Linked DNA regions of Arabidopsis thaliana. The protein of the gene in region 2 interacts with the protein of the main gene of each other region in a pairwise test. Each region holds a gene or a part of one and is shown on either strand. Other genes may lie near its edges.

What was found. Proteins that work in one complex are often made in the same cells at the same time.
Region 1: the proteins of ROS4 (region 2) and AT1G20870 interact in a two-hybrid assay, tested with the Arabidopsis thaliana proteins (one study listed by BioGRID).

What each region holds. Positions count from the first base shown.
Region 1 is NC_003070.9:7,258,523-7,263,416, forward strand, and holds AT1G20870 (HSP20-like chaperones superfamily protein), read right to left. Parts: upstream 2,959-4,894; 5' UTR 2,920-2,958; intron 2,273-2,919; 5' UTR 2,254-2,272; coding exon 1,107-2,253; intron 1,010-1,106; coding exon 765-1,009; 3' UTR 501-764; downstream 1-500. Other genes in the region: PHT1;8 (phosphate transporter 1;8), read right to left, coding at 1-311; AT1G20875 (uncharacterized protein), read left to right, coding at 2,959-3,159; AT1G20880 (RNA-binding (RRM/RBD/RNP motifs) family protein), read right to left, coding at 4,357-4,659, 4,763-4,805. UniProt on the Arabidopsis thaliana protein: Acts as an anti-silencing factor that prevents DNA hypermethylation and gene repression.
Region 2 is NC_003074.8:5,039,505-5,047,109, forward strand, and holds ROS4 (Acyl-CoA N-acyltransferase with RING/FYVE/PHD-type zinc finger protein), read right to left. Parts: upstream 6,022-7,605; 5' UTR 5,825-6,021; coding exon of another isoform or gene 5,606-5,824; intron 5,519-5,605; exon of another isoform or gene 5,449-5,518; intron 5,371-5,448; 5' UTR 5,308-5,370; coding exon 3,040-5,307; intron 2,814-3,039; coding exon 2,696-2,813; intron 2,379-2,695; coding exon 2,296-2,378; intron 2,112-2,295; coding exon 1,870-2,111; intron 1,747-1,869; coding exon 1,660-1,746; coding exon of another isoform or gene 1,650-1,659; exon of another isoform or gene 1,466-1,649; coding exon 1,366-1,465; intron 1,163-1,365; coding exon 961-1,162; coding exon of another isoform or gene 914-960; exon of another isoform or gene 897-913; coding exon 427-896; 3' UTR 308-426; downstream 1-307. Other genes in the region: AT3G14970 (RING/U-box superfamily protein), read right to left, coding at 1-229; AT3G14981 (uncharacterized protein), read left to right, coding at 5,606-5,824. UniProt on the Arabidopsis thaliana protein: Histone H3 acetyltransferase that binds methylated DNA at chromatin sites lacking histone H3K4 di- or trimethylation and catalyzes H3K18 and H3K23 acetylation. Prevents the transcriptional silencing of transgenes and of some endogenous genes.

The DNA of each region.
Region 1 (4,894 bases), on a different chromosome or scaffold from region 2:
TTGTAATAAACATGACTAATCATTTTCATGACCGGTGCTATGCAGAAAAGATCGTATGCGTCGGTGAATAGACCCATTCCCGCTACTATGATCGCTTTGAAATGGTACCATTGTGTTCGAGCTACATCAAGCGACGACAATACCTTTATCGGCATCGTTGGTTTTTTTATCTGAGATTCCGAATCCAGAGCTTTTTTTTTTTTTTTTTGCTTCTTTCCTTTTGGTTTGTTATATCGAAATTTCGAATTCATGATGAGTGAAACAGAACAAGGATCTTTATAACGATTAATAAGTCTCTTTGTCATTTTCATTACTTTATTGGTATGAGCATGGAATATGCTTATGATTTTGACTCCGAGGAAGACTTAGTCAGTTTGTTTGTAAGAGCTTCTTTTTATCTATGTTGTCACATTAAGGCACAACATCATAATTGTTTGAATTTTTCTAGCCAAATTAAACCGTCGGTTCAGTACTGTTTTAGTTTCGGTTTGATCACTTATTGAGAAATGAGAACAGTAACTACTAACAAGTAACAGCAACACTGCCAACACAGAAACAATATTAACGGATTCTCAGTTTGATGAAATCATTGTGAAAACGGATATTTAGCAAAATCATGCAAAATCTACAGAGTCACGTCCTAAAAGTAAAAGATTTATCCTTGCATGCTGTTTGATTCGCTTTCCTTCTATGTCCAGTAACATAAAGATAAAAGATCTACATAGATCCTAAGTTCTAAACTTGTATAGGAACCTCCGGTTTAATTAAGAGTTTTTGTGTCGGATGATGACTCCCTCGAAGATACCATCTGATCGGAAGTTAGGAGAGAATAGCCGCGGATCAACTGGTCCCGGGAGGTTAAAGCACAGCTTGAATGGTCCAGGCGGACACAGCTTCCGGATATTCATCTCGAACACCCGAGAATGTCTCTTGATATTTTTTTCGCCTCTTGTAGTTGATCCCTCCAGTATAACCTTTCCATCTGATTCAATCTCACAGCTGAATTCACCTGCACACAAAAGGACCAAACCAATTCATGTGTTAGCACTTAGACCCGATGTGGCGTGTATGGAAGTAGTTAGATGTGCAACAAAGTGTAATAATACCGTAATCTTTGCGGACACCGGGCAAAGCAACCTGAAAAAAGTAAGCAACCTTGTTGACACCAATGTCAACAACACCAACAGATGATCCTAGAGTTTCTTTACTGGCTGTTCCAGTAGTTACAACCGACGGTTCTGCATCGCTTTCCTTCATCTCCGAAGAAAAAGGTATAGGCTTATCTGTTTTTTCTCTTTCCATAAGAGTTTCACCATTCTTGTTTGTTGCCTTTTTTGATGAGTTCTTGAACCGTCTTCTCTTGTATGTCTCACGAAATCTTTCAGGGGTTTTACTCGTTCCACTAACAGCATGACCAGTAACTGCTTCTTCTTCCTTGTTCTTTCGCTTGCATGTTTCTGGAAGCTTTACAAATGAATAGTAGTCTTGGTCAGAGACAATTCCACTGAATGCAGATTCTCCGTTTCTTGAACAGTCCTGCTTCATTCCCTGGCTTTCTGGTATGTCTCCCGAAAGTCTTTCTGGTTCACTGATTACGCAACTAGCAACCGCGTCTTCCCCTTCCTTTCTCTTGCACGTTTCTTGAAGCTCACCAGATGAATTGTAGTCCTCGTTAGTGACAACTCCATTAGCTGTCGCATCACCATTTCTTGAACAGTCCTGCTCAGTTTCCCGGCTTTCATCCAGATTAACCCGAGGAGATAAAGACGTGACTCTATCGATTTTCAGGTCGTCCAAACGCGACAAGCATCTGAACCTTTGGAGTTCTTCCTTGTTTATGAACCCTACTGCAGGATCATCAATAACAACAATTCCTTTCACAATCTCGTGGCTCGGGGAATACCTTTTCTGCGGGTGAAGATTCGTCGGGAAAAAATGCGTGAACTGAGGAAACTTTCCACTTGGTTCCAATGGTAGATATCCCTTGAGATACATATAAATCATGTCTGGATGAAGAAGGAGGCTGGACTTGGCGTTTCTGAGTACATTATAGTACAAGTTCTGTAGCTGGGAAACAGTTAGAGAGGAAGATCCAATGTGCATCAAAGTGTAAGGTGGCAAACCTCTAGCTAATCTTTGAGAAGATGAACATCTTGGGTTATCAGAATAGACATCAGGACCCAAGTAGTTGCTCATGATGAAATTAACCAAGAAATACTGATCACTCGATAATCCGTCGCTATACAGACTCATATCTTCGATATCAATGAACCTGCATTACATATGAAAGTGGCAACATTGTCACAAATGGAAGCAATAAGGACATTCCAAAAACATAGTTACAGGACATAATTAAGTGTCTCAAATTTGCCAATTTAGTCATAGCATTGAAAATCTCCATCATTTTAGTCCCTAGATCTCTTAAGTTTAACCCTTTTCTAACAATGACTTTAGTCTCCATAATGTTTTGCCTTATCATTACTAAGGAGAAAACATCTTCAAATTAAACCCTAAAAACTTCACTTATTAACAGCAAAATCTACATTTGAAAAGACTATGTTGATATTTTGAGAAAGATTAGTAACTCTGCTTCATATATACTCTTCACAATACAAAAAAAAAAAAAAAACCAATTTTTACCCAGAAAATATCGCAATCCAACAATTTTTCACTAGTTAGCTCAAAGTCAACAATTTTCCTTAAATCTAAAGGTTACTACGCTTGAATACGAACCAGTTTGTACTTTTTACAGCAAAAATCGATCCCACATTGTTCCCACCACAGAAGATAAATAGGGATTATGCAATTTCAACCTTACAAGTCCAGCGATTGTGAAAATTCAAGCAACATTCATGGAGAAAAAACGAGAAGAAATTCGAAGCTTAAGCATGACAGAAAATTCTCAGTGGCAGATTTTACCTTTTTTAATTTCGTCGTGATGTTTTTGGGTTGAGGAGGATGATGGAGGTGAAGAGAAGAGAGATTTCTCTGCGAGAAAGAAATGTTTGGTGTAAGGAGAAAAATGCAAAAGAGGATGGGGGTCCTTTGCTTGCTACACGTGGCTACCACGTGGGTCCCGCAAATAACCGCATTTGGAGGTATCACTTGTCACCTGGCTCACCACGTGCCGTCTTGTTGAAGCACTTTTGGGCCTTTTAAAAAGTATAAGGCCCAAATGTTTTGTATGTCTTATTCTCATTGATAAAGCTTATTCTTTTAAACGAGAGGAAGTTGTAGGAAAATGGGAACATTAATCTTGTTTGTGCTGACTAAACTATCTCTAAATCAGTTTTCTCGGACATCAAAACATCATTACTATGCCACTACCTCATTATGTAATCCTTTTAATTATGTGTTGATCAATTTTTACTTTGATGGATCAAAGAAGGAAACGTAATTACATCCACCCCCAAAAATTGGACTCTTTAAAAATGGTTTAAATGACGATGAATTTAACTAAAAACTCGAATCTATCATCTTGAAAGCAAGTGGTAAACGAAGTGATAAATGGAGTATAAACAGAGGAATCAGAGTAGAAGATAGGAGTCATAGACAGAAACAATTGAGAAGAACAATTTATCAGTCTAGAAACTGTACAGACATAGAAAAGAGAAGAATCCTGGAGCTAAAATTTATGCACAGACAAAGAAGCTGAAGTGAGCTCCATAGTCATTAATTTTTTACTTACAATGCAGAGGACTTGACTCAAGAGGACGTGAGAATCTACCTAGTAATATTACCAACACTCATATGCCTTAAGAGAGTGTGTAGTAAGAAGACTACTTTTACCACCCAAAAGAATCAGATGTTGATTCCACCATTCTATATGCATTTATGTATGTGTTTATATATATATGAACTTTCTTTGTACACCAAACTTATTCCTACCAGTTTACCGCGAAAACCCTTGTTTCCGGGGTGAAACTATTCATATAGTTTATGCCATCAAGCTTGTTGTGGGCTATATACATAGGATGAGAGGGTTAAAGATAACAGAAGCACAAACCCTGAAACTTCCATTCTCCTTTCCCCCTTTTTTGACTTCTTCAGTGAGCAAGACTACTTAATACCTGTAACGACGGTAATGAGGTGAGATCGAAAACATTTGCAAGTACTGAAACTTAAAAGGGCACCTAAGGAAACAAGCTTACCTCTAGAATGCGAAAATAAATAATGTGCTAAGCTTAAACAGGAAGCCTGCCAGAGTAGCATTTGTCCTGGACTTCTTCCCTTTTCTGCAATCTTTAAGGATTACTAACTGAAAACCGATAAATAACAATGAGGTCGTGTAAGTGTGTACGAACTTCAATCCAATTTGGACCATCAAAAAAGAATCCAAGAATTTGCTTACGTTGATCACCCTGTTGTCTGATCAGAACCGCTACTCTGTATATACTGAGGAGGAGTCTGGACGATGACACGTTGGTGCGTTGGAGCTGAAGGAGAAGGGTATGGAGATTGAATAGCAGACATAGGTGAAGTGGCACCAAGCTGTAGAACATGACTTCCTGGATGTGAATAACCTTGACCCGCTGTATAACCGTGAGCACCAGGAATAGTATGGCTCAGTTGCCCATATTGATAACCCGGTGAGTTAACTGCCCCAGGTACTCCATAAACCTGAAGGTACTGTTGACCCATGTAAGGACCATAGAAACCCTACAACACCATGAAGAGAAGACATGAGTTTATAACTAAAGCCACAACAGTTTAAAATGCATAAAGAAGGTAAGAAGGAACTGCAATAATTTCAAGCGCCTACCTGAGACTGTGAGTACATGTAGTCAGGTCCATATGGTGTAACCCTGAGAGAACCCCAAAAAGCACAGCTAATATTAGAGACAGGTGAGTAAAGTTTTGGCTAAACACTCTTTAAGAAAAGAAGAGTAACACT
Region 2 (7,605 bases):
CACTGAAAAGCAATCCTTTATCAAACTCGTGAGTTCGATCAACGAGTAGAGTTTCAAGATCGAGAGGATTTTCATCTTCTCCATCTGAATTTACTTCAGGGGCAAGATTGTAACATAAATGAAACTTGAACATCAAGTTTTGGGTTCTGCCAAAATCGCCTTCATCGTTATAGATCGGATAATAGTAAACGAAGCTGTCGGGGTCTGGATTGACAGCATCAAAAACCATGATTTGTTCGGAAAAATGGGCGTTTTGATATTTGGTATTTAGGGTTTTGAGGCTTGATAAGACTTGAAAATGAAAATGAAAATATAGAATCCTCTTTTATGCGGTTTCCTTATCTTAGTAGGGTTTTCTTTCAAAAAAAAAAAAGTGACGAGAGGATATAGAGAAAGAAACGATCATAGTTTTTTAGTCTAATAATATTATTCCGAATCCTGAGAGCTATCAGAGTCAAGCTGTTCATCAACACAAAGCAACATCTCATCGCTAACATTATTTACTACTCCTAGTCCTAGACCACTAACTTCTTCTAAAGCTGCAGAGGAAGAAGAAGCCCTTGTCGTTTCTTTTCCTTCTTCTGATAACTTTGATACATCTTTCTGCAAACATTCTTCTTCTTCTTCTTCTCCTATAGAGACTACTGTTGTTTTATTTGGCCTATCATTGGCATTGCTGTCTCGGCTTGGGTTCTCTGTTTCTGAAGTTGGTTCTGTTTGATCGGCTCCGAGTGGTACGGGGAAGCCTGGGGATGGCTCATCATCTGAACCTGCTGGAACCATCTGATCACAGCTCTCAACTTGGGTACTCATGGGAGACCCGGCTTTGTCTAGACCTGGCTCTAGATCTGCTTCTTTGTTTGATGGGTTATTGCGTTCTTTAGAAAGACATACACCTGTACAGGAGCAAAAATCAAATGAAGTTCGTTCGAGAGAGAGGGAGAGAGGAGTTGGCTTTACCTTTCATAGTGCTGGGTTTTGTGCTCTCGTATAGTGTTTTCTTGAGCAGAGTTGTCCCAGGGAATACCATCAAGTTTATTCTTTTGAGAGCATCACGCTCTTCATCATCCATGGGTTTGAAGCCAAAACCTTCAGTCCAAGTTTCCACTAAACTCGGCAATGCAGCTACCACAAGCTTCTCCACTTTGAGAGACATAAGCATCTGCAGCCAAAACCAATGAATAGTTTTATCTATTGATAGCCCAGGGATCAAGACAAGACTGGAAGAGAGATCATATGAGCTAAGGGATTATCAAGGTCAGCATATGAGCGGTGCTGTATGTCTATCATTGTACTAAGTTTAGACATTATTAATGTGGATGTAGCTTCAAGAACAACCACATGGTTACATTCTAAATATCGTACCTCTTCAATGGCAGCCACGAGGATTCTACACATGCCCTGTCGGCGATATTTGCTGCACGTAGCTACAAGAGGCATCTCTGCAATAGTTACTCCGTGCACCCTGGATATAGTAAAATGGGGTTTATATGTAACTCGTTCCAGTGGATGGAAGTGAAAGAATAGTTCTAAGCATCCATTTGGTGATAGTGTCAAATTTTGTTTCATTGCCTGGAGGTTCTAGAAGACATACCAAACACTTTGATAGCCATGAGATTACTGTTTTTTCAGCATGAATTCGAGTTTCTTCATACTAACCTGATAGATGCTACTGAGATCATCACATCATCCTTTTCCACAACCACTGTGTAAAACCCATCAAAGTCTAACCGAGCAAATGTTGACCTTTAAGTGCAACAAAGATTCAAAAAAGGTAAGACAAAGCGATGAAAATGAAGAGCAGAACTGAAGGTACAGAAGTAACAAACAGAAATCTAAGTGTGCAAGCTAATGACAAAAGGACGTTACCCCCAGTTGTATAGCACATGAGGTATCATGTCAATACCAGTTCTTGGATCTACCATAGACAGAAAGCTTTCCTCCATAATTGATAGGGCAACAGCTAATTTCGAGTTGCATTCAGCCTTCAGCGCCAACCTTCGGGCAGAATGAACCATTCCATCTTCTTGAAAACATTTAAGAATTGACCAAGACAGACCATCAGCATTAGGGTTAATGATCCCAACACGAGAACTAAGACCATTGTACACCTGCATTACACGAGCTACTTAATGAGAACCTTGAAAGTTGTGAAGCAGCTGTAACATGCTAACATCTTCTTTGTTTATATGTCAAAGAGCCCAAGAGCAGCGAAAAATATACTATTATTCTCAATGTAAATTTAAAAACTACCCATTAGTTGTTTAAGTCACAGTGACTAGGTATGATTAATACCTTCTCGCAATTTTTACCACAAAAGTAGGTCTCTGGAAAAAGCTTTCTGCGTTTACTTATCCCTTGCAAACATGTTCCATGATCTGATAACATAAAGGTAACAATCATCAGCCAAAGTGGATTTCATACCAAAATAACTAATGTGGGATCCAACTGTCGCGAGAGGCATAACTCCAAAAGTGAGTTTTACAAAGTGTCAATTACTAAAGAAAGAAAATTGGAGAAGTGCTGAGCCTGGCAGAAAACCACCATCTACAACTGTTACTGATGAACAGTGACATCAATCGTGATAAAATCTCAGTGAGACATGATAGAAGAGAATTCAAATCAGGGGTTTCCTTTCATGTGATAAAGAAATAAATCATAGTTTCTAAGAGATTGCGAGCTGTAAGATGATTACATTTATGCGCACACTGGGAACATTTAAAGTCCTGAGAGCGTTCAGCATTATCACTAACCAACTCGCTGCATATCCAACATGTGCAGCTCGAGCAATACCAACTTCCTTCAGGGAGCACCTGGGTAGAAAAAGCAAAAGCAATACAGCAACTCTCTTTAGAGGGTACCAATTTAAGGTAAAATATCCTAGTTATACTAATGCCGTGTAAGTTACTAGAGTTGAATTAGTAAGAATCACAGAATCAGCCAAGAAGTTTCACCCATGTGTATGTTTTGCAAAGAGTTAATTACCGGGATAAATAATAGTTAAAATGTAAATATACCCTGGAATGAGTCAGACAATACCTGCATTGATAAGCACGCCTGATGGAAGGTAGATGGACAATTATCACAGCAGATCAGCTCACCCCCATCACCACAAACTCCACAAGAATCATCATTTGGATCATCATCAGAGGCTTTCTCTAATCTCCATCCATTTCTTCGCGCCTTATACTCAGCAGACCAAGCTTCCAGCTGACATGAAGCGAAAGGCTTTCCTGACCCCATGAAAAGATTCAGACATGGACAGTTCTGGTTAAATCCAGCATGGTTCTTGAATTCAGAAAGTGACACAGTCTTGTTGCAACATGTACAAACCACTCCATCTTTAGTTACCAGGCCTGTTTTTACCACAGTATCATCATCTGGATCTCGTAACTGGATTACTTCGTCTCTAGAAATTACTTTGGTAGCTATCAACCATGATAAGACAGTTCTAGGACCCAAAATAGACCAATTTCCTTGAAAAAAATGATTTTCCACATTGCTTGAGCTTCGGGGAAGCAACCTGCACCCTCCCCTATTGTTTCTTTTCTTTGTTCTAGCCTTTGGCTTCTGTGTTTTCTTTTTCTGGCTTGATCTGCTGAACTTACCTTTGTTTCTGGTTATTGTCGACCCCATAAGGTCATCATCTTGAGTATAGTGCTTCCTAGCTTTCTTTCTTCCTTTCTTTGAATTGCAACATGAATTATTCATCTTCTCATTCCTCAACCTTTCATCCCGACTTCCCTTTGAGACGAGGTGAATGTTGCCCATCTCTTTATCCTGGAATTCAAAGCTATTGAGAGAATTAGAATCTAGTGAATCATGTTGGTCCAAGGAAGCTGGTTTGATATCGGATATTTTCTTTGATCTTCTGTGTAAGTTCTTTCTCATAACACTTTCATGCATGTCTTCTGCTATCAATTTTGAAGCTACAATGCCCTTGCTAGCCTCCTGCTCATGAGTCCCAGAGATTTCCTTACCAATTATGCTCTGCCTCTCTAGTCTTGAAGAAACTTTTTGAGAGGAAATTTTAGTTTGCACCTCAAGATCTGAATGTATCTCTTGGTTAGCATCCACGTCATGAACAAGATGACTGCCTTCAGATACTGTCAGCACACTTTCAGGACAGCCTGAAATCAGGTTCAAACAAATTGTATCTTCTTTCTTCAACTTGTCTGGATTTGAATTCCTTGCAACTTCAACTTTATTTCCTTTTCTTAAAGAACCAACTTGCTTAGAAATGAAGACAACAACCACAAAAGGCTCTAAGGCACTCCACCAAAGTGCCCGTGTGTTAGCAAGATTTAAATTTTTCATGTTCTCCTCGATGTCCAACAGTGTAAGAGAGAGATCGGACCAGAAGTCATTAATACCAGTCCATTTCTTAGTACCAGTATCCATTAACTTACGATCAGCTAATAGGATCCCACCCAATGCTTTCCAAGCTGACCCAAATTCACGAAATTTCCGTCCCTCTGGCGATATGTAAAATGTGTCTACATGTTTCCTACCTGCTGATCTTTCGCGCTTCTCAATTTTCCATCTGGCAGCAGTTAGAACCTTACAGACATACTTGTAGAGAAGAGGACGGGGGTCCTCTTTAGGATCAATCTTTAGGCAGGTTTTAGACATAATTAACTCATTAGGAGATACTTTAGATCCGTTGTTCAACTGTAGCGGGAAGCAAGCCTTCTCACTATGCGGCGTAGAAGCACCTACAGAGATCATTCTGGTTGCGAAGCTCTCCTGAGAAACAGGAGAGGCAATAGCTTTAAATTCCTTTCCATCGCATTTGTCCAAGTTTAGTGACTTACACTTTCCAGACACAATGCCACCCAGATAAACTTCTCTTCCCTTTACTATGCTGTGCTTCAACAAATATGAGCTAGTTGAAACACCCTTGTTAGATGATTCAACTAAATGGAGAGGTATCGTCTCTCTAGCTATGTCCGAAGTTGGAAAACCATGCAAAGCAGATCCCTTTTCGTCCCTTGCATCCAAATGCTTATTACCTGAAAGCTTCACTCTCTTAGCTTTAGTGTTAAAATCTGAACCATCTCTTGAAGCAGATGCCTCAAAACCTTGTGGACATGCATATCCACTAGTTACCACAGAGTTGGAACTCAGAGAGGAATTGACATTCTTACTGGAATCACATTCGAAGTTAATGGCTCCAGTAACGAGACATCTTTTAGTAGTATTTCCAGGATCACTTCCAAAGAAAACTTCTCTGAATATCTGATGATCCTCATATGACCCTTCAAAGCAGTCACCTCCTAACATCTCAATCTCAGCTCCGGGAAGCATCTCCACAAACTAACTGCATATTCCACTTCACCTTAACTTAAAAGGAAGGTTGTAGATAGATACCTGCAATTATATAAAGTAATGAATAAACTCACAGAACCCAAAAGTTTGGAACTCGACATCCTAATCCAAAACACATACCCATAAGCGGAAGCGGATTCAAAACAAGATAAAATCAGAGATCCTTCTAGAAAGGCCAAAACTTTGAAGCCTAGAGCAAAACGATAGACCAGATTTCATGAAATTGAGATGTTATAATGACTAATTACATCCAAAAAGAAAGCTCAAAAATTGGGAAATGCAGGACATTACCAGCATGCAGAATGAAATCAGAGCTGTGAAATCGGAGAAATGGCTTCTTCTCACTGAAATAGACTCATTTCGTCGCCCTTATCCTCTCCAACCGCAAGTGGGAAACGCATTTTCATTCCATTTCACGTTCTCTGCACTCACACACTCTCTCTCCTTGATCTCTATCTCACACACAGAAAGAACAACAATTTGTCTATCTTTTTAGCTTTTTCTATAATTGTGGAAGAAACCCACCTCTGATTCGGTGTTAAATCTCTCAACCAAAATTCATCAGATAGATAAATTCTGACGAACTTTTTTTCACCTCTCTGAATCTGCCTCTATCACTTTGTTGTGCACAGTGTGTGTATACTTATTATTGGCTATTTCTTTCTCTTCTCGTTTTTTTTCTTTTTTTCTTTTCTATAAATTGTGTGCTGTCACCAAAAAGGCATCTTCGTGTTTTTATTTTATTTTTCCTTCGTTATACTGAAAAAGTCATTCTTCATTTTTCACCTTAAGATTCTGTCTCCTCTCTGATAACAACGGACCAGCAGTTATAGTATATGGAGTACTTAAATTCGTTTAATTACACAAATTAAAACCCAAATATTCGTCGTTTTTTTCTTCTGTTATCAAATTCTTAATCCTGTTAATGACGATCGTATCACTATAAGCCAATATTAATGACTATGGTTTTAAGTTCTTGACAAAGTTTTTTTTTACTAAATTCGCCACAGACAAAAACTGTTCTGACAAAAATAACAGACAAACTAAAATGAAAAAAAAGGTTAGCATATTTAATTGCCAGGTTTCTAACTGTTCTTCTGTTGTCGTTTTAAATCATTTCAGCTTATGTTTTTGTCCTTTAAAATTCAGTCATCACCGATTGTAACAGGTTTTGTCTTAATATGTATAATCAATATCTGTTAAGTGGATTGGATGCTTTGTAATTTGCGCGGGGAATCTTTACGTGTCTTAACGATAACAAATACTGTACTATCAAATAGGTGCATGCGATGATGGACATAAGTCGTATTTTAACCTATTTTGTTGTGTGAACAGATTAGTTATTGCATGTTTTGTATTAACTATATATAGGAATACGGCTCTGAATCTTTGTTTCTTCTTATTCGATTTTGATATATGAAAATTCCAAAAAGTACATGTACCAGTACGATGAAAACGACTGTGTTATGTGAAAGTATTTGTTTTTAAAAAAAAAAATATTTAGAGGGGATCAATTCTAGATACTTTTTTCATTTTTAAGGTTTAACTATGGTTAAAAAGAAACGATTCTTTTTTAAAAGGGTAGATGGTAGACCTCATTTGCTAATTTTGATCCACATAAGTCAATAACAAATAATTCGGCTCGCTTGCGAAGCTAATGCATGAGCCACGTGTTTTGCTTTATATTTGGCTTTCTGTATTGAGACATTCTTCTTCATCCTAATTGTGAATGGAATATGTTGGACCCAACGAAGCCATCAAACATGGTTAAAACACACAAACATGTGATTTAATCTAGTTTAATTTCGTCTATTACAATATAAGTGAATTTTGACACACATCCTTGGATTATATCTAAAACGTTAAGTTTGTTAAAAACACTTTGGACCGGATAATGGGTATTGATCATTTATTGTTTGTTGCATGTTGGGTTAGAAATTAGAGATCATAACAAAAATCATGATTTCAGGCTGTCCATTTTGAAAAATGTGTGTGTTTGTGTTAATTTGAATACACCGATTCATCCAAAAACCATCTGAACAGTCTCTTAATTAGTTTACCGTGTATATATATCATATTTATGGGATCATATTTGGTTAAGTTTAACTAGTAGTTTCAAATTTCGCGTTAATAGCTATTTGAAAGGGTAGGAGTACTTTTTCGACCGGTTAACACTCCCATATAAAGCCCATAAATTATTGGAACGCTACAAAATTAACAAAACATCTCTTCAGAAGTTCGTCCGGTTTACTCTACTACAAAGTACATGTATCAAAA